Linked DNA regions of Coturnix japonica. The protein of the gene in region 2 purifies or fractionates together with the protein of the main gene of each other region. This does not show direct contact. Links are inferred from orthologs where the notes say so. Each region holds a gene or a part of one and is shown on either strand. Other genes may lie near its edges.

Region 1 (4,043 bases), on a different chromosome or scaffold from region 2:
CCCCCGGCCGGGCGGACTCACCCCAACAGCTCAGCGCCCCCGCTCCAGCGCCGCCATGAGCAGCACGGCACCGCACGTAGGAACTAATCCCGGCCTCTCGCGAGATCGCGGGGCGGGGCCGCGCCTGCGCCCTCACGGCCACCGGCGGCAGCACGGTGCGCATGCGCAAAAGCCAACGGCACCGCCATAGCGCGGGATCCACGTGGGACGGGGCGACGGGACAGCATTGATACAATACAGAATACAGCACAAAAATGGCTGTAAATTGCTTTATTCCATCTTAAAATAGTCTAGGAAAGAAGTCTGTACAATGCTCCTCAACAGGAGTCCCATATATCAACTAAACACCTTTATCTGCATAATCCAAATAGACTCATAACACACACAGTTGCTTTATCTATCAAAACTAAGTAAAAACAGCATCAAAAAGTAACAGTGACAATTGGGTGTCATTGAATTACATTGAAAACAGCATGAAAATGCCACTGAGAGCATCACAATATCAATATAATATATATATATATATATTATATAATATATATTATATATATAATATTATATATAATATATATTATTATAATATAATATAATATTAATGTGAGCAAATACTGAGGGTTGGGTCCTCAAAGCCAAAGCTCCACTGTGCAGGCAGAGCAAGGTATCAACTTGTTATAACATAGACTTCAATTCTTCTTCCTTCTAGCAAATACAACATCCAGGAGCTGTATTGTGTTCCCCATATCAGGCAGTTCTAAGTGACAGCTGGAATTGCCGAGGAAAGCTTATGGAAGTAACACTCGTGAGATAAACTGCCACAAAAGAGCCGGCACCAAAAGCACTTGGTTCACTTGGTTGATAATACAGAGCAGCAATACAAGCCTTTGCCATCAGGAGTGTGTGATTGCAGAGTAACACAGGGCACACATTGGGATAGATGGAACATGTGAAACACCTGAAGAACAAGTTACAGATCGTCCTTTGTTGGGTGGCTTCAGAACAGTCTCTGAAGTCAAGGTTTGGGTGTGTTGTGATCTAAGCTTCGCTGTCACGCACATCGTCCCTCCCGAGCTCAAAGGATTCCTTGCTGATGGACAATAGTTCCCGAAGCTCTTTGTTTTCGAGCTGCAAAAAGAAAAATAATAATCAGTATTTCAACTGAGATAGAGATGAGTTAATTAACAAAGATTACAGACTGTTAATTAAGTAGCCCCATTCCTTCACAGCCGAATAGAAATCTAGAACTCAAACTAATGTTTACAAGGGATGAAGCACATCACTTTAAAGGACACCTTTTACTTTGGGCTTTATCGTTAAGATGACAGAAATACAAAGAACTTAAACAGAAAATGTTCCTTGCCTCCCAACCTCACCCACCATCCCTGTTTTTTATTGTTATTAACACCTGACACACACAACCATCTATAGTCCCCAAAAGCTTGATCTGTCCTTAGCGATGTCGTGGGTTCTTACCTCCAGCTGAGCTAGTTTCTCCTGTACCTTGAAGAACTGATCATCATCCACGTGTACAGCTTTTCTCATCACTTCACCCATCTCACATATCCTGTCTATTTGTCCTTCAATTTCCTGAAAGACATGGGGAAAAAAAACAAACACCGTTAATACATTCAGGCAAAAGCAGTAATAATTTATTCCTTATGAATCCATTACTTTCATGTTATTAATTCTGGACTACTTTCCCATTTTGAATCTTAATCTTTCCCTCCCAACCACTTGTAATCCTCCCTGCTTTAAGACAGCATCACATACCTCAACACACGGCAGCTTATAGGGATTTTGGAGGCTCTTTTCCTTTTGTTACAGTTACTCAACAGTAATGATAACCACCTCTGCTGTGCTCCTCTTAAGTGAAAACAAAGCTATTAAAGCTTAACCCCAGGAATGTATCACCCAGAGCACACAGCAAGCCTTCACCTGGACAACCAAAGGCTCGTGCTGTTCAGGATGCTCTGTGATAATTTACAACCTGTGAGAAGAATGCAGGGAAAAGATCAAATACCAAAGGGACCAGAGCTTGAAAGAAGGCTCCTGGAGCAGAATGGGCCCGTGAAAGGAGACAAACGTTGCATGAAAGCAAACCAGAGAGCAAGTTCCTCATCCCCATCCCACCTTACCACAGAGTTGGCCTGATGAACTTTCAGCACTGGTTCCGCATCTTCACCTTTTCTCCCTTGCAACAGCTGCAACATCTGCTTCCTGTATTTGCTCATGATGAGCTCTAAGGCGTCCTGGTGCTCCTCCAGAGAGATCCACAGCGCTACGGGACAGGGATCGCAGCGTTACACGGCACCACGCGACCCCCCCGGTGCACCGAGAGCCGTCAGCCCCATCCCGTCCGACTCACCGCGGTTCTCCTGCCGCAGGTCGCGGATCTGCGTGTTCTCCTGGCACAGCAGCGTGTGCGGCCGCAGCCGGGAGCCGTCAGCACCATCCTCCGTTACGCTCCGACCCCGCCGGGACGCGGCCGTGGGCGCCGCCGCCGCCGCGCTGCCCTTGTCGGCCGGCCCCGCACCCGCCTCCCGCATAGCGGCCACGCGTTGGTGCAGGACGGCGGACTGATCGATGAGCGACTCGGCGGCGGTGTCGTGCTCCTTCAGCCGCTCCAACAGGGTCTTGGCGTCCGTCAGGATCTTCTCGATGGTGCAGCTCATGGTGGGCGCAGGTCGGGCCGCGCTGCTCAGTCCCGCGGCGGCCCCATGTCCCGCACAGCGCACGGACCGAACCCGCTCGGCACAACAACACCCGCACAACAGCCGCTGCCTTTTCCGGGCCGGCTCCTCGCCCCGCAGCTGCGCAGCCGTGAGCTGAGCCCGGAGCTGAGCCCGCACCGCCGCCTGCTGGAGGCCGCTGGGTGCGGGGATGGTGTTAAACGCGTGGATCCAAAGCTCCCCGCTGTCACACGGCGTGGATCTGAGAGCCGGCAATGGGAGCTGCTCTGTTTGCACAGCGCAGGTGGCCGTGACCCACGGGGGGTCCTGGTTATCTTGATTTCAAACTCCTTTAAATCCTGGGCTGACATCTTATCTGTATCCCTGTTTGTCCCTCCGACAGTAAACATCCTCTCCTCAAGTTAAAATAACAAGCTGTGCAGTGCTGACTTCGTTCTTTGTTATTTGCTCGCTGTAACCGCCCGTAGCCACCCGTGGTGATTCTGCTGCTTCGCTTCTCGTCGTGTCACGTTTTCCTTTGATACTTTCTAAGCAGTGTTTTAGCAGTGTCAGCAGTTCTGCTGCCTGCAGCCACCCTGCGGGCTTACATCTCCTTTGGGACACACTCAACAATTCAGCTGTTCGTGCCTTTCACCCTATTCTAGTTAAGGAAGTTCCGTGGTACCAAATTTACAACCTGTTGCACTTAAATCCCATCGTACAGCCCGGGGGACTCAGTGAGATCAATGCAGCACCAGCAATTCAATTCACATCAGCTGGGAAGTCAGACTGAAGCAGCAGGAGCACACACTACACCTCAGCACAAGCTGCACTTGGGTTGTATGTCTGAACCTATTCTGTTTCTTACACTTCTCCTTCCCTTTGGGCATGATTTAATGCTCACTCTTCCCTTCCTTCAGAGATATCATTCCGGCCTTTCATGCCACGTGGAGACAAGGGAGAGGCACTGCTTTATCAGGCTTCCATGTCAGGATTGTCTGAGTGTCTGAAATAAAGACACAGAATGAAAAGGAGATGAAGTCCTAATGTGTCCCATGCCCCCACTCAGGGCCGTGGCTCGCTCCCTGCCCAGCAGATCTCTTGACACAGAATCATTAGTTCCACTCCCAGAGGACAGCAGAATGAGTTCATGTGGCGCCAGGACCGACCCGATCCCAGTAGCACAGCACTCCTGTATCTAAATGCTGCTCGTGCTTCTCACCAGGACTTCTCTTATGTAGCAACAGAGCTTAAACAAAGCAGCGGATGAGCGATCTCAGGGCAGTGGTGTCTTATAATTCCTTTGGCTTATCACATCAGCGCTGTATAAACTGAAGAGAATGTATAAATTTGGCCTCTCAAGCATCTTAGTGTTTA
Region 2 (4,052 bases):
ACAGCCTGGCTACATGCAGTTCCCACCTGTTGGCCACTTCAGCAGGATGGGGCAGCAAAGTGGCCCAGGCCTCACCTGCAGTGCTGGAGAAACACCACTCATCCCAACAGCCACTAAGGAGAGAAAAAGAACCATCTCTGGGCAGCAAGCCTGCAAGGAAACCCCCCTGTCCTCCTACCTGGATCATTTTTCTATGAGAAAAGAAAGGACAAGGTATGAGCTACTGCTTCCTTCTCAGCCCTGTGCAGCACATCAAGGAATTGGGGATGTAACTCTCCAATGGGACATCAAACAGAAGAGCACTGGCTGCTGCAGGCAGCTTTTGGGACAGCCAGCAGTTTGTGTTGCAGGCTCTGTCATCACAGGCAGCTTCCTGAAGAAGCGTCTATACTTTGAGGTAGCTGTATCATGCTTTCTGAGGAACAAAGCAGCTCAGGCAAGGGTGGTAGAGGAGACAGACCATGACAAGAACAAGGCTGCCTACAGGAACAACAGAACTGGGAACACAGCTGGATTCAGAGCTTTAAAGACTGCAGTGCAAATACATCATCGAGAGGGTAGAGCACCCAACAAAGGCCCACTGTGCTGTATGTACACAGCAAAGGTCAACCAAGAGAAGAGAGTACCTAGCTGGCCTAGGCAGAGGCACTGAGATAAAGCAGCTTAGGGATCTGCCTAAGGTAATCCGGCACATGGGCAATAGATAAGGAACCAGAGACAAGTGAAGGCCCTTACATTCCAATCCAAGTCGTATGTCTCTTTATTTTTACAGCACCTCCTCACCACTGCTTAAAACTTGGCTAACAGAATGTATGGAAACTGTCGAGTCCCAGCCTGAACCATTGATTGAGCACCTGGGCAAAGGACCTGGCCAGCCCTGGATGCACAGGTGAAGGCAATGCAGCAGTGAGACTAGAAGGGGTACAGCCTGGCTGCATCTCTCTTAGACCCCATTTAAGGGCTGACTGCCTCTGGGGAAGGATCTTTTTCTGGAGGTCTCTCCTTGGTGAAGCTTTCCTCTGCAAACTGAGACTCTTCTGATCCAGGTGAGCAATCTTCTTTCTTTCCTTTGTAGCACCTCTCTGTTGTGCCAGCCCTTCCATCATCATCACACATTTGATGTAATGCCTTTCCCATTGCACCGATCTAATTGCTACACAGAACTTCAGGCCAATTCCTGCTGCTCTTCCAAGAAGCCTCAATTAAACAGATTATGAGGTGCCACCGAGGATTCCAGAAGAGACTCAAGGAAGGGATAGATAACACATACTGCTTTCCTATTTTAGCACTGGAGTTATCACAGTATGACAAACTCTGATAAAACACCTGACATCTGCCTAATGTACAGATTAGATAACCAGAACTTTGATAGCTTCTATTATTGAATGCTGCCTAAAAACAAAGCTCTACTCAGAGCAAGACACTGCACCAACAGAGCTCAGCTCCCTGCCTTGAGCAGGCAGTATCCTTCTTCATTCCTTCGTTTCTCTCCCTGCAGCGTGACTCATTCAGGCACTAAATTTGCATTCAATTCCACCAGTACTTTGAGGAAACGGTGTGTGTGAAAGGCAGCATGCAAAGCAAAGATGCACTGCAAATCAATTTTAAACCAGGAAAGGTTTGGAGGAAGCATCACCTCAAACCACTGAAGTACACCTAGAAGCATAAAATACTCTGGTCAGCCTGGTCTGGTGGTTGGTGACTCTGCCTGTGGAAGGGAGGTTGAAACTGGATGATCATTATGGTCCTTTTTAACCCAGGCCATTCTGTGATGCTATGGCTCTGGGGGGACCTGAGAGTGGCCTTTCAGTACCTGAAGCAGGGCTGTAAGAAGGAAGGACACAGACTCTGCCTGCTGTGATAGGATGAGGGAAAGCGGTCCCAAACTAAGAGGAAAGACTCAAGCTGGATATTGATAATGAAGTTTTTTACAGTAGGGGTGGTGAAGCGTTGGCACAGGTTGCCCAGATTGGTGGTGGTGCCCCATGTCTGCAAACACCCAAGGTCAGGATGGACGGGGCTCTGAGCACCTGATGGAGCTGTATGTGTCCCTGCTCGGTGCAGGGTGTTAGAGCAGATGGCCATCAAGTGTCTCCTCTATGACTCTATATAAAGAAAAGCACCCAGATTTCTCCCTAGGGATCAGCACAATGCACTGACACCTGCCAACCATCACACATACCCACAGCCAAGCCCAGAAGAAAGCCGATCCGAGCTGATACCATTCTGTGCTCCAGCTTTTAGCCCTGAGTCATGACATCACCTCGTGCCATCACAACAGCGGGATGTACCTACAGCCCCTGAGGCCTCACACGGCATCACACGGGATGGAGGAGACCTTACGACGGTGACACCGACCGGCAGCACTGAGGCTACAGAGCCCGGTGTCCATTGCGGTTTGCCGTGCAGCAGAGCGGCCCCATATGAAGGCCGTGGGCAGCAGCCAGCAGCAAACAAAGCGGGGATCGATGTGCAGCGGGGAGATGGGAGCTGTGCACGGGGCGGCCCTTACCTGGCTGCCGAAGTCCCTCAGGTGCGCCATGCTGGATCCGTGGGGCCGCGCTCCTCGGCGTTCAGCTGCGGGAGACAACACGGCGGCTCTGCCCGGTCCCGTCTCGCCCCGCCATCCCCGCTCCGCCCCTTGTTGTCCCCCCTTCCCCCAGCCCCCACCTACGGCCCTGGTTCCCCCCGCGCAGCGCCGTGCGCCGCCATGCCGACAACAGCCGCCCCGGGACACCGAGCTCGGCCGCGCCGCCGGGAGGAAGCGGGAGGGGAGGCCGCGCCGCGATGCCTGCTGGGAGATGTAGTTCTAGCCCCGCCCAGAGATACAATGGGGCCGCCCCTACGGACTGCATGTCCCGGCGGGCTGTGCGCGGGGCGGAAGGAGGGGCCGAGGGAAGGGGAGGTGCGGGCTACAGCTCCCACGTGCGGCGGGTGTCGGGGAGCGGCGATAGGGGTCGGTGATGGGGGTCGGTGCTTGTGACGGCTGCCTTTAGGGTAAGCCATAATGAACGGCCCTGCCCGGCTAATGGCCGCCTCCGGGAGCGGTCAGGGCTGCCGGGTGGGTCTATGAACACGGACCCGCTTTGGGTTGTTTTGTCGCTGCCACCAGGTGGCAACCGCGGATCGCAGCGCTGAGCCCCGCGCGGCCCCGTGGGGATGCACGGTAACAGCTCGGCCCCAATGGCAGCTGGAGCATTGAGCACAGCCGTGCGATGAGCTGCCCACAGTAGTGGGAGACAGAGCTCCAAACCGAAGTGCTCGTCCCTTCGGTGCAAGGCATTGGGCTGATGGGCTGCACTCCACCTGGTAGGCATGAAGTCACCGCTGTGTGATGGCAGCCATAAGCTGCTCCGGGCCTTAAACCTTGTCCTTGCATCTCCTACAAGGATCAGCTTTAAAGGGAACCTGTCCCTGCCAAAAAGAACACACTGAGTGCTGCAGAAGCCCATTTGCTCCTATGGTTCCCCTTCCAGAGCCTTTAGGTGTATAGAAGCTGCATCAGGCTGCTAGAGCTCCAGCACTCTTGTTCCTGCCTGCAGACTATAACTACAAGGCTCAGTGTTGCGAGACTCTCTTTCCCTGCTGATATCATGGCTCTTAAGACTCTTTTGAGTGTTCAGCAAAGAAAAGGGCCTTTATCTCCCAATTCTGCTGCTGAAGTGGAATAAGCAGGAGTGGCTCTTGCAGCTGTGAAGCTCCGTGTGGAGCTGACTCCTGGGTTGGCTCAGCATCTTTTCCCTCCCAGTGACTAATCCTCAAATTAAGCCAGGCTCCTTCCAAGCTGAGAGCACAGAGCGCTTGTTCTTCCAAACCATGTTCCTGTGCAGCAGCAGAAAACAGCTGATGAAGCTGAATCTTAAACCCTCGCAGACGTCTGTGCTCTGCTTAGGCAGGAATGGATACAGCTGATGGATCTGCAGGGATACTTTGCCTTCCCAGCTGGTCTCTTCTCACTGCCCTGATAACAGGAGACCCCAGGGTGCCCCTGCTTAAACAGGGTGAATGACAGGAGCCGGTGATGAGGGTGAGCTGCACATCAGCCAGCACCT
Region 3 (4,187 bases), on a different chromosome or scaffold from region 2:
TTCTGGGAACTGAGAAAAATAAGGCTTGGGCTCTGACTTCAACGGAGTTTCTGCTTCAGCAGTGGAAGGGATATGAGCACTCACTACAGTCATAAAAAATGTAAAACTTGAGTAGGAGGGGAGCTAGATGATTTTTAAGGAAAAAAATCAAGGATACATCTGTTTGACTGGAGTTTTTGTGCTCTGTAATGAACCCCTGAAGGCTGAATTCTGCTCTGTTCAGGCTATGTTTATATTACTGTTGTTTATTCCCCTAATGGCTAATTGGTTCCTGTTCTGGGTGTGCAGAGGGGAAAGTTCATGTATGTTCTCACTCATATCCTTAGGTAAAGCATGCTTAGAAGAACATTTGCTATCTATGATCAAGGGAAGGCATTGGTCCATTTTTGCCTGGCTGTAGTGCCAAGGGAATTTAGTACAAACCTAGAAGTGAGGGAGCCCTGTTAGAGGAGACCAGCAAGGCTCAGTGTGTTTATTTGTGTTCTTTGTGGAAGTTACATGTGGCTGCAGAACAAACAGGTCCCAGATTTTGCTTGTCATTGATTATGTTGGTTCTGGAAGAGAGCGCATTCAGGCTGATCTATAGCTTACCAAATAGGTAAGGCCTTGAGGCAGGCGGTGCAGCACCGAAGTGTTCTCTGATGGGCAGACCGCCTGTGTGGTAGTGGTTTCCTCTGGAGAGTTTAAAACCAGTTTTAAGCTAGGACGTCGTGGTCTGGAATGGCAAACGGCAACTTCAGACCACGCTGAGCTTTAGGGCTGCATGGGGAGGCTTTAATCTGGCCCCCTGCGGTCGGCCTGCATGAAAATATACCCTTACAGGCTAGAAGCCACTTTGGCATGTAAACATGTCAGTAAACAAGGAGCAGCGACAGCAGCGTCCTCCCCGGTCCTCCACAAGGAGGTGACAGGAGAGTTGCTCCTTCTGACACACCCCTGTCAGCACCCCCAGAGAGAGGCACCTTTCCTTCCAAGGCTTCGGCTGGGTCTGACTGGGCAGGTGAGCCGAGCCTCCCACCGCACAAGCTCTTTCTTCTCTATCCTCTCTCTCCGTTCTCCCACTCCCGAACCTCAGAGGCGGGCAGGGAGCAGAGCGGTGCCTGCGTGGGGCCCGTGCCGCGCCGTGCCAGGGGCACTCCCCTCAGCCACCATGGCGGGCGGGCGGCCCGCGGCGGGGTCCCGCTCCCCCGGCTCCGCCTGGCTGCGGGCCGCCTGATGGCGGGGGGCGGAGGGGAGGAGGGGAAACCCGACCGCCCGGTGGCCCAACGCCTGGACTCGTTCGCCTCGGCCGGCAGCGCGGCGTTGGCGCGGCGCAGGAGGGGTTAAGCTCCGAGCCGCCGGTGGGCCCGGTGCCGGCGGGGAGGGGGTTAAGCGCCGGGCGGCGGCGGCTGCCACTCGGCTCCGCGCCGAGCTCCGCGCCGGAGCCGTTACAGCGGGAAGATGGCGACGGAGGGAGCGAGCGGCGAGCCGGGCTCCGGCGCCCAGGAAGACTCGGCGGCTACGGCAGCGGTAACCGGGCCGGGGGATCGGACCCAACCGGGCGAGGAGGGCTGCGGTGGGGATGGGACGGAACGGAACGGTGCCCGGAGACCTGCCTCCCCCGCTCCGTCCCTCCGCCCTCCTTCTCCCCCGGGGCGGGACGGGGCTCGGCTGCGGCGGGGAGCTCTGTCCCGCCCCGGGGGAGAAGAGGGGCGAGCGCGGGGGTCCCTTCTTTCCCCGTCCGCCTTCCTCGGGGGCTGCCCCATTGTTCCTTCCCGCTGCCCGCCCGGCTGAGGGACTCGGGGCGGGGAGGTGCAGGCTGGGCAGCGCGGCGGGGCTGCTCCGATGCCTTCCCCAGAGCGGAGGTGCTGACAGCGCCCGGAGCCCGCAGGTCGGCGCGGGGGAAGCGCTCATCTGAATCCTCGCTCACAGCAGCTCGCTGTCTCCTTTCCCCCTTTTCTCTCTTGTTCCTCCCCGTGTGGATGAGGGGCGCCGGGGCAGCGCCCCTTTCCCTCCCGTCCCCGGGCTGCGAGGGGCCCTGAGAGGCTGGGCTGCGCCGAGGGGCCGTCAGGCTCCCTGCTCCCGAGCAGCCGGCTGTGTGAGGCGGTGTGTGAGGTGGGCACGGTGCGACGGTACGGCCCAATGTAGGCTGACTCCCTCTGCCCGCCTTTGCTGTCCTTTCTCTGTCTAGTCGCCTATTCCGTGGTGGGAGAGCAGGGCTTCGCCCCGCATTTCTCCCCTACCCGCAGCGCCGGGTCCCGGTGGGCAGCGCAGCGCTGTCCGGTCCGGAGGGGCTCGGGGTCGTCAGGGGCAGCTGTGCGAGAGCCGGGGCGGTCCGAGATCAGCCCCTGAGCGCCTCAACGTGTAACGAAATGCCGAGTTTAGGGTGCTAAAAACGTTGAGGTACGGCTCTGAGGTTGGATCATTGCTGAAGGGAGTAACGCCAGAAGGAAGGATGGCACCGGCTTGTGTGGGACTGAAGATGCTGATGGCTTATTTATTTATTTATTCTCTTTCAAGCAGGCACAAATCTTACCTGAAACCGTGTTCTGACTGCGCAGTTAATGCACACGAGGAAGGTTAACTTCTGCCTGTTGTAGAAACTGAGTTACTTAAATAAGAAAATAAAAATATATTTAAAAAAAAAAAAAGAGGGAAGGTAAAGCTCACAAAGTGAATAACATTGCTCTTCTGAAACAATGGCAGAACTGTAACATGAAAGACTATTAAGGTAACAGTTCATAAAAGCAAAATATTAAATTCTCTAAGCCATGGATTTGAGTAAAAAATATTTACGCTGAATTCTCCAGTATTTCATATTATTATTGCCTTTATTATTTATTTTTTTTTCTGAGTTTTGAAGAACTCAGAAGAATAGCTCACAATGAGGCAGTGCTCCAATACTTCCCTGCTGGGCAGTGCTGCATCTGCTGGTCGTGCAGTTTGGTGCTCGTTGTCATGTAGGAGTGATAGTTCTACACCACATTGCTTTTAAAATATTCTTCTAAAACTGCAGATACTGGCAAGTAACCTGTGTGTTGCTCTGTAATTCAAGTAGTAGCTGTACTTAAGCAGCAATAAAAGATCTTTAAAGGGACTTTTAGTTTGCATTCAGTCCTTTAGTATTTCTTTTCTTGACAGGACGAGGGGAAATGGCCTCAAATTGCACCAGGGCAAGTTTAGGTTGGATAGTAGGAAGAACTTCTTCACAGAGAGGGTAGTTAGGTACTGGAATAGGCTCCCCAGGGAGGTGGTTGAATCGCCATCCCTGGTTGTGTTTAAGAGCCATTTGGATGTGGTGCTCAGGGATATGATTTAGTGTAGGGTTTTTAGAGTTAGGGTTCTGGTTAGACTGTGGTTGGACTTGATGATCTTCAAGGTCTTTTCCAACCTGGGCAATTCTATGATTCTATGATTCTTCTTGTATTTCTTTGGTATTATAGACATTCAGTTGTCGATTTCCTTCTAGTTTTTGTATGCAAAAGTAACACCTCTGTGCAGTGGAAAGATTATACAAAGTATCTGTAGTGATACACCGATGTTCCTGTTGAAGAGTTAGTATGAATCTCTTACTTTCTGTCTTTATATTTAAGATATAGAATTATGAATGGAAATCATCTTGCTTGTTCAGGTGACAGTATTGTAAGTCATGGACAACTCTGCACAGTTTTAGGCTGAGTTCTCAGAATGCTGATTATATAAACGATGCAATGAAACATTCTAAGATCAGTGTTTTTAATAGTAATTATTAATATGCAAATTATACAGTGTAAGCAGTAAACATATAGTAGGGTATTCTCATACTGAATGCTGTTACTCCCGTATCTTAGTACACCAGCAGGTATGATATCAGTAGCATCACTGGGAAATAGAAAACAAAACTACTTGATTTTTTTTTTTGCTGTTCTTAGAACCGTCATAGGAATGGATCAAATATGGAAAATGTGAAATCTTTTTTAATTTCCTCCCCTAGAGAAAATGACAGGAAAACCCAGACTGTTCTGTAGTGTTATGTCCAGGAGTAAGGCTGATAGCCTTATCTTTCTGAGTTCCCAGTTATCTCTCACAGAATATTACTACTTTTGTTGTGGTAAGAATGACAAGGTAAAATGGCATGGGAATGGCCTTGTCACAGAATCACAGAATTATCAAGGTTGGAAAAGACCTAGAAGATCATCTAGTCCAACCATTACCGATACTTCCCAGCT
Region 4 (3,500 bases), on a different chromosome or scaffold from region 2:
TGTGAATTTTGCCCAAAGGTCAGGCCAGGCATGGAGAGGCAGGTCTGTTAGTGGATTTGGAATAAGAAACAGGTTGAAAGACTGGACAAATTAAAAGCGTCTGTAAATACATTAAAGTATTTGGCTTAACTCTACAGCAGTGAATGCCAAATCACTTAGGCTCTTCATCTACATTTTTCAAGAGAAATAAGCAGAGGCTCTATAAGTGCTTCTTGCTGATATGCTGGCCAGTGAGAAAGTAAAACATCACCCAAGCCAACAAGGGCCAAGTAAGATATCACTTATTTGCAAACAGGGGAGATTATTCAAAATCTAACTTCCCTGCAAAGGCTGTTAGGCCTGTGTTAATGTCTCCTATCATCACTTTCCTGGCAGTGGAACAAGATGAGCAAAGACAACTACTGCACTTGTTGTTTTTTTCTCCTCCATGAATATTTCAGTGAGATGCAGTAATTATTTATAATAGGGAAGTACCCTATTGGTATTAATTAGTGGAGGTCAGGCAGGACACGAGGGTGTTTCTAGAGTTCAACAAGGACAAGGACCTCTAGAGACCAGATCCCAGATAAGCTGAAATGGGAAGTGGATTTGAGCAGCGGTACCGCAAAAAGGACTCAGAGTTTTCCAACTTATGTCATAGTCAGGATGACAGCTTTGCCTGCTCTTTCTAACAGAGAAATGCCCACTCACGGGCGAGTACTGTCTGTACCAGACTTGCGACCAGCTTTCAAACAGGTCCAATATGCTGCTGTGCTCAGATGAAGTTGGCCTTTCTGCACATCCAGAAGGACGCATACATCAGCTCCTGCAGTACAGGAAGTTCTTGCCAGAGCAAACACGTGGCTGTCTAACAGCCATCTGGGAGACATGGAAGCTGTCAAAGGCACAGTCATTTGGGCATGTTTTCTTCTGTAAAACTCCTAAAAGTGAACCGTGTGGCAAACCAGATTGATTTAAATGAACAGAACTGCAGTGGCTGCTCATGCTGTAGAGTTAGCGCTTCTTTGTTTAGGTCTGTGTTTGCATTTTTATTGCATGACACGGCAGTTTAAATGCACATGTAATACTTTATTTTTAGTAATGAAGAAAGCTTATTACTAAAAGTACTGTTTTATCTATATGGTGTAGGAACTACAAGTGCACGTGGACCAAATTACAGAAATGGCAGCGGTAATGAGGAAAGCCATTGAAATTGATGACAAGCATGGCTGTAAAGAGCAGGAACGTATCATTCAGCTTGAAGTAAGTATGAGATCTTTTTTTGAGATTTGTGCCAGTGATGGCACAAATAGGGATCTGTCTTCCTCTACCCTCCCAGTGAGAAATGCTCAGAACTGACTGTGAGACAAGAAGTTGCGATTACACACAGATCAGAGTCTGGCTGTCAGAACAGGGAAACTCTCTGCCACTTATTTGGGGAGTTGGGGGAGCAGGTTACCGCTACCCAAATACGTTCACACAAGCTTTAAATTGTGCTCCACGTCTCTAAACAAAATATCTTGTTCTGACCCTACAGTTCTACCTTTCTTTTACAGTCTTTCAGTACTTTAGGGTTTAGGAATAGCCAGCTTCCCGTGCATCTGCTGCCAGTACTCAAAGCCAGCATTAAGATAGCTGCGTGCTATCTTCATGGAGCTGGACTGTTTCAGGTAATTAGTTTACTTAGGAGAATTAGTTTGATGTTGTATCAAGGAGCTGAGGGGGCTGTAGCTGACATGAGATTGGTCTCTGCTGCGGTGCCATCTTTCCAGAACTCGGGAGCAAATCATGTTCTGTATTCTTGCAGTAGATTTGCTGAAATTGCCACAAATCCTGAGATGCTGATTTAGACTTTTGCTTTAGTCACCTGCTTGGTTTTCCAGTCTCCCTCGGTATTAAATCATTTCCTTTGACAAAGGTTTTCCCAGTGCGCTACCAATTTGGCTGCTTTTTTATAAGACGTTGTGGAACCAAGTCACACGTTATTATCGAGTGAGGAACTGGGTGCAATGTTTAATTATTTCCAATGCTGCTACCAACCCTAACAACAGTTTTTAAAGTCAGTAAACTCTTCAGTAAAGGGATCCTTTCTGTTTGTAACTCTGTGGTAATCCGGCACGTAAAACAAAAGCCGCTTTGTGCACTTACCTTCTGGTACAGTTCGTTGTGTGTAAAATGCCTTTGGTTCTGTTGTTCCCAGTGCTTCAGTTATTTCTAGAACTCAGCCCTTAGCAAGGGTGTTAACCTTATCACAGTTACTGAGTTACTGTCTCTTTCTTGAGTTACTGGATCATTCACTGGTACTGCTAGTTTGTTGCATGTCTTTTGTAAGTGTGTTTGTAGTAAAGGGAAGGAGAGATCCTTCATGTAGTTATCTGACTTTCTGGAGTTCTATTAAATGCCTTTTTTTATCCCTCGGTTATAGCAAGAAAACAAAGGCTTGAGAGAAATTCTTCAGATAACCAGAGAATCATTCCTGAACCTTAAGAAAGAAGATGCATCAGAGAGTACATCCCTTTCAGGGTTAGTAACAAGCAGTGATTTGAGCCTGAGGAAGAGCTGAAGACTGTGGAAGCCAACCAGCTTTAATTGCACACTTTACAAACGGAATATCAGGGGTCACTTGTCAAGCACTTGTTACTGAATAGGGCACCAGCAGGCTTATGCATCTTGAACTTTGGTTTAGTGGCTTTTATACCGTGTAAAATAAACTCCAGTCGGTACTCTCTGAATACCGTAGTGACAGATTAATTGCCATAGGTCTAACTTCAGTAGGAAATGGGTTAGTGCACTTATGGAATTGGGAATTATTTTTATATGAAGTCATTTTACAAATAAAATACATAATTTCACTTAATTTATATAATTTATTGCTCGGACAAAACTTCAGTGCACCTATTATACAATAAATGCAAGATTTAAAGTAGTCTGATATCTGGCTAAAAGATAGCGACTGACTACGCTTTGTGCATGCTCCATAGTTCATTTGTCCTTTTAGTTACTAAGGTTTGTGAAATTCAGCATTTAGCAACGAGCCTCTTTAATGGAAAGAGCCAGCAGAAAGCCGACGGGCTCCTGTTAGCCGCAGGCTGCCCTGTTGCAATGTAAGGCCAGTTGCTCAAACATAAGCAATACTTTTGCAGTTGTTTTTACCTTATGAGAGAAAATGAAGCTCAGTTCTCTGTGGGTGGCAGGCTGCCGTAGTCTCATCTGTTTCTTTGGGGATTGGCTGCCCAAAGCTAGAAACAGCAATTTGAAAGCACTCAGACCGTACTGAGGGAAAGATAATTGGGAGAAAGAGGTGAGAAATTCTATGGCAAAGTTAGCAGACTGTGCACCTGGAACTATTATTTTCTTTCTTTAAGTACTATTTAGTCAAGGAGTTTTGTGTATTTTCACTGGGAGCTCTCAATACATCACACTGACAAGACTGCTCACTTTTATTAGTGAAAAAGCTGCAGAGGTGAAAATGAATTAGCGCTTCTAGAACAAGAAGTAGCTTGCACGGTTTGCCTGTACAC
Region 5 (4,189 bases), on a different chromosome or scaffold from region 2:
TGATGCACTCAGCGAGTAGAGCCTGAGCTCCGGCAGGGTGAGTTAGCATATACTTGCACATAATGCTGTAGGAATAACACATTGACGTTATCTAACATCCCAAGTCGATGAATTGCAAAACACTTTGCATCTGTTTAACGATGCTCCCAAACAGGAAATCAGTAAAGTACAGGCTTACATTTAAGTATATTCTTCAATTAAACGTGTTTTCCCCCCTCCAAAATGTTTTCCTCAGCCACTGTCTGTTGGCTGTACTTAGTAGATGCCACTCCCGCGTCCCTCCTTGATGAAATGAAACACTTTCCTCTCCCATACTGTTGTGTAACAGCTGCAGGTGAGTCCTATGATCCTATACCAAGTCACCAAGAATAAAAGATAGAGCTGGGATCCATCTAACCTAATATTGGCAAGATGTAAAGTCACTCTGGTCAAGAGAGACATGTAGGACTTAAGCAAGGCTCAGCTACTGCAGCCACCAGAGATGTTTCCTCATAATCATCTGTCACAGAATCACAGAATGAGCCGGGTTGGAAGGGACCTCAAGGATCATGTAGTTCCAACCCCCCTGCCTGGCAGGGCCACCAAACATACACCTTTACTAGATCAGGTTGCCCAGGGCCCCGTCCAACCTGGTCTTGAACACCTCCAAGGACGGGGCATCCGGGTCTCACTGCTCCCAACCTAAATCACACATCTCCCTCATCCTGCTTCTGTCACAACACTTACTGTGGGCAGGGCCACATCGTTCTGAAACATCTCCTTCTTCCACGTGTTCAGGCACTTTCTGCTCCATAAATAACTCTGCCACCACAGCATGGACAAGAAATAATGATTCCTGAAAGAGCTGTTTAGAGCCCCTTCCTAGAAACAGCCTGAAATTTTTACAGTGGCATGGGACATTAAATCAAACCATTCAGCTGATGGCTGACACAGCCTTGCATGTACTTTCTATAAATAAATACCAGCCAGTATGGTGATAAATTAGTAATAAAGAAGAGTAGATGGAACGTGTTATCGAGCCGCTGTGGGCAGCAGCGCTTAACACAGCACAGACCGCTTTCCTCCTTCAAGACGCGCAGCAAAGAGGCAGAAAAAGCTGTTGTTAACTTTATACTGTTGTCACCCTTAACATCTCACAGCAGAGGGAAGGCCCTTGAGAAGTGAGGCACAGGGTGAAAAGTGGGAACAAACCCCCATCGTTAGGGATAAAACACCGCACCCCAATGGCGGGGCGGGAATTCACCTCAGGGCTCCTAGGCGGCACCGCCCTCACACACCGCGGGCGGAGATGGCGGCGGCACCCCCCGCCCTGCACGCCCTGCCTTCCCTCCCTCACAGACACCTCCACCCGGCTCGCTTGGCCACGAGGAGCGGCGGCACAACCCGGACAAAGGCGGCCATCCCGCCCAGGCGAGGCGGAGCCATGACGAAGCACCTCTTCCAGCCGGGACGGAGCGCTCCGCCCTGTCCCCGCTCAGCGCTGCCGCTTTAACCGCCCGCCGTGGGTGTTGGCCGGGCGCAGTGCGCATGAGTTCGGTGCTTGGAGGAGCCGGTGTTTGGCTTGAGAGCACTTGGAGAACTTGTTGTCCTTCTAGCTCATCTGTTGTCTCTATTAGGAGAGGAGCGGGTTTACTGCCAGCAGCCGGTAAGTCTCCCTCAAATATCCCCCCGGTCGCTCTTTCTGAGGGGACTTTTCCTTCCTTTGCTTCTCTATCTCTCCCAAGAGGAGCCATACCCTCCCCTGGGGGTCTTTCCCACCGCTCTTGAGGCGCTTATCAGCTCTGTGTGGGAGTAATACCAGCATTGCTCTTATTCCTCACGAATGGGTGACTTCTCAAGAAGTAATAGGAGGCTGCTCCGCTCGGGTTTTCGCCCTATTGTTTTCTAAACTTCCTTCCAGTCAGTCGCCGTGACGCACCGTAGTGCTCTCTGTCTGCTCTCCGGTTTCCAACGAAGCGGTGTGTAATGTTAGCAGCGAGCAAAGTGAGAATCGGAGAGGTGCTGCTGGGCGGGATGTGGTTCAGAGCACGGGGAAAGGGAGAAAGAACTTCCAGCAGAGCCCTCTGCTATCGTTGGTGCCATAAAGCTCCTCCAGCTCCAGCCCCTTCCATGGGCTGGGTGCCCCCACCAGCTCAGGCTGCCCAGGGCCCATCTAACCTGGCTTTGAGCACCTTCAAGGATGGGGCACCCACAGCTTCTTTGGGTGCTCTGCCAGTGCCTCACCTCTGAGTAAAGAATTACTAACCTGTATCTCCCCTTTTTTACCTTGAACCATTTGCTCTTGTCTTATCCCTGACAGACAGTGTGAGAAGTTGCTCCCTGCCCTGCTTACAAGCTCCTTTAATTCCTTGATTTTTTTTCTTCCCCGTCACATTCTGTTTAAAAATCCACAGGCAGCAGCGAACTGTTACTGACCAAAAAAAAGAAAGAAAGGAAAAAGTGAAAGACTTTATAAAAGGGTTGGTGCCAGTGCATTATTAAACTTCAGATGTGCTGATATTCATTGTTTAGGAAATCCATTAAGAAACAATTCTGCTCAGATAGAGCAGTGAGGCACAGGCTGCCCAGGGTGGTGGTGAAGTCACTGGCCCTGGAGGTGGCTGCAAAACATGGAGAGGTGGCACTGAGGACGTGGTTAGTGGGCATGGAAAGGTGGGTCAGTGGCTGGTCTAGATGCTCCTAGGGGTCTTTTCTAGCCTTAATGATTCTATATGTAGTGCTATGGGCTTGCTAAGGGTGATGTTAAAGAGCTGCTTCATTTCTTCCTGACTTTCCAGAATGTGTTTTTACCCCTGGAAAAACTGTTGGCTTAAACAGCAGCAGATTTTAGCTCAAAATATTTTTCCCTACCCTCTGTCAGGTGCCTGTTCTGTCTGGAGAAGGTGTGAGACAGCTGGTGCTTCTGAAGGTTGTCAGCCTGGGTAGTTCAGACGAGGTTTAGGATGTGAAAGAAAAACCACAGCCTTCCAAAGGCTCTCCAGATTTTCAGCAATTGAAGATCTTAAGGGCATGTTTCCCAAATAGCTTTTGGTTGGGTATGGCACCCAGAGGAGGCGGCTGGAAATCTGTTGCGTTTCATCCTGCGTGTGAGCAATACCCAAGAGATGATGCAGGCAAATGAATGTGGAGGGTGACTTGTCTTCTTGTTATTATGGCCAGGATTTTAAACTGTTACAATGAAGCACCAGAAATGTAGTGATTGCTTTCTCTCCTCTTTCCTTATATGAAGGGAACAGAAGGGAAAACTTCCTTCTAAACTGAAGCGTTAGTCTTTGAAGCTGTTGCAGTTTCTAGCTTAGGTTAACACAAAGATATTTTCAGGCTTTTCTGCAGGTCCTTGGCTAATGCAGCATTGCAGATGTTCTTCATCGTACAGCTATTACTGTACAGAATAACGATTGTAGGCTTTTTCCCTCTTTTGCAGTGATAATACCTGTATGGGGAGGGGGGGGATGGTGTATAAACAGGAAAGAAAAACACCGATTACTCACAGCTCAAAGAAATTGAATACGTATTTGCAGCACTATCGTTCTCACTATGGGCTTGCTTTGAGTTCTTACAACAGAGAGTGAATGAGTAATACGAAGTTTTGACTGGAAGTACAAATGAAGTCTGAAATGGGGAAGGAACAGGGAGATGCTGTGTTGAATCTCTGCGCTTTGTGAGTAGTAAAACTCTTCCCCTCTTGATCATAGTTGCTTTTCCTTCTTTATATGCATACCTCTGAGAGAAATATTAACCAAGAATGCTGGCAGAAAGACTGGCTCGTTGGATATAGTAGTGAACACTGTAACTCCTTGGTAGTTGACAAGTCACAGACTGACTGACCTTCTAAAATACCGGAGCGTGAAAATAAATGCCAATAAAAGTGGGTCTCAAAGCCAGCCAGACAGGCTCTGTCGAATTCTGTTGCCACATCCTTCCGCTCGTTTAATTAGAAAATAGAAGCAAGTGATTTTATTTTCCAGTGTAACAAACTGCTTAAAGATCTCCCTCTCAATTAGGAATTTACTGATCATTCCTGTACCAATGAATGTATGAGACAAGCATTTACTGCTTTGTTTTTCCAATGCTGTTTTCAGCTCAGTTCACCTTGGGCAGGCAGACCTTTATGTGCTTATGTAGGAATTAAATGATCGTTAAATTAATTTCTTTTTAAAGTAAATATCTGCTTAGTGATTTCAGTGTC

Evidence for each region.
Region 1: the proteins of STK25 (region 2) and SIKE1 purify together in Homo sapiens (affinity purification with mass spectrometry; 4 studies listed by BioGRID and IntAct, with this or other methods). This does not show direct contact. The link is inferred for Coturnix japonica from reciprocal best matches to the Homo sapiens genes STK25 and SIKE1.
Region 3: the proteins of STK25 (region 2) and CTTNBP2 purify together in Homo sapiens (affinity purification with mass spectrometry; 3 studies listed by BioGRID and IntAct, with this or other methods). This does not show direct contact. The link is inferred for Coturnix japonica from reciprocal best matches to the Homo sapiens genes STK25 and CTTNBP2.
Region 4: the proteins of STK25 (region 2) and FGFR1OP2 purify together in Homo sapiens (affinity purification with mass spectrometry; 5 studies listed by BioGRID and IntAct, with this or other methods). This does not show direct contact. The link is inferred for Coturnix japonica from reciprocal best matches to the Homo sapiens genes STK25 and FGFR1OP2.
Region 5: the proteins of STK25 (region 2) and PROSER2 purify together in Homo sapiens (affinity purification with mass spectrometry; 3 studies listed by BioGRID and IntAct, counting the BioPlex papers as one, with this or other methods). This does not show direct contact. The link is inferred for Coturnix japonica from reciprocal best matches to the Homo sapiens genes STK25 and PROSER2.

Annotation. Positions count from the first base shown.
Region 1 is NC_029541.1:3,922,568-3,926,610, forward strand, and holds SIKE1 (suppressor of IKBKE 1), read right to left. Parts: upstream 2,801-4,043; 5' UTR 2,670-2,800; coding exon 2,363-2,669; intron 2,276-2,362; coding exon 2,133-2,275; intron 1,585-2,132; coding exon 1,471-1,584; intron 1,123-1,470; coding exon 1,033-1,122; 3' UTR 256-1,032; downstream 1-255.
Region 2 is NC_029524.1:3,907,280-3,911,331, forward strand, and holds the start of STK25 (serine/threonine-protein kinase 25), read right to left. Parts: upstream 2,801-4,052; 5' UTR 2,671-2,800; intron 2,578-2,670; 5' UTR 2,543-2,577; coding exon 2,513-2,542; intron 1-2,512. UniProt on the Homo sapiens protein: Oxidant stress-activated serine/threonine kinase that may play a role in the response to environmental stress.
Region 3 is NC_029516.1:21,971,501-21,975,687, forward strand, and holds the start of CTTNBP2 (cortactin-binding protein 2), read left to right. Parts: upstream 1-1,387; 5' UTR 1,388-1,440; coding exon 1,441-1,509; intron 1,510-4,187. UniProt on the Homo sapiens protein: Regulates the dendritic spine distribution of CTTN/cortactin in hippocampal neurons, and thus controls dendritic spinogenesis and dendritic spine maintenance.
Region 4 is NC_029516.1:62,494,051-62,497,550, forward strand, and holds part of FGFR1OP2 (FGFR1 oncogene partner 2), read left to right. Parts: intron 1-1,128; coding exon 1,129-1,242; intron 1,243-1,535; coding exon 1,536-1,649; intron 1,650-2,404; coding exon 2,405-2,542; 3' UTR 2,543-3,500. UniProt on the Homo sapiens protein: May be involved in wound healing pathway.
Region 5 is NC_029516.1:5,522,727-5,526,915, forward strand, and holds the start of PROSER2 (proline and serine-rich protein 2), read left to right. Parts: upstream 1-1,389; 5' UTR 1,390-1,645; intron 1,646-4,189.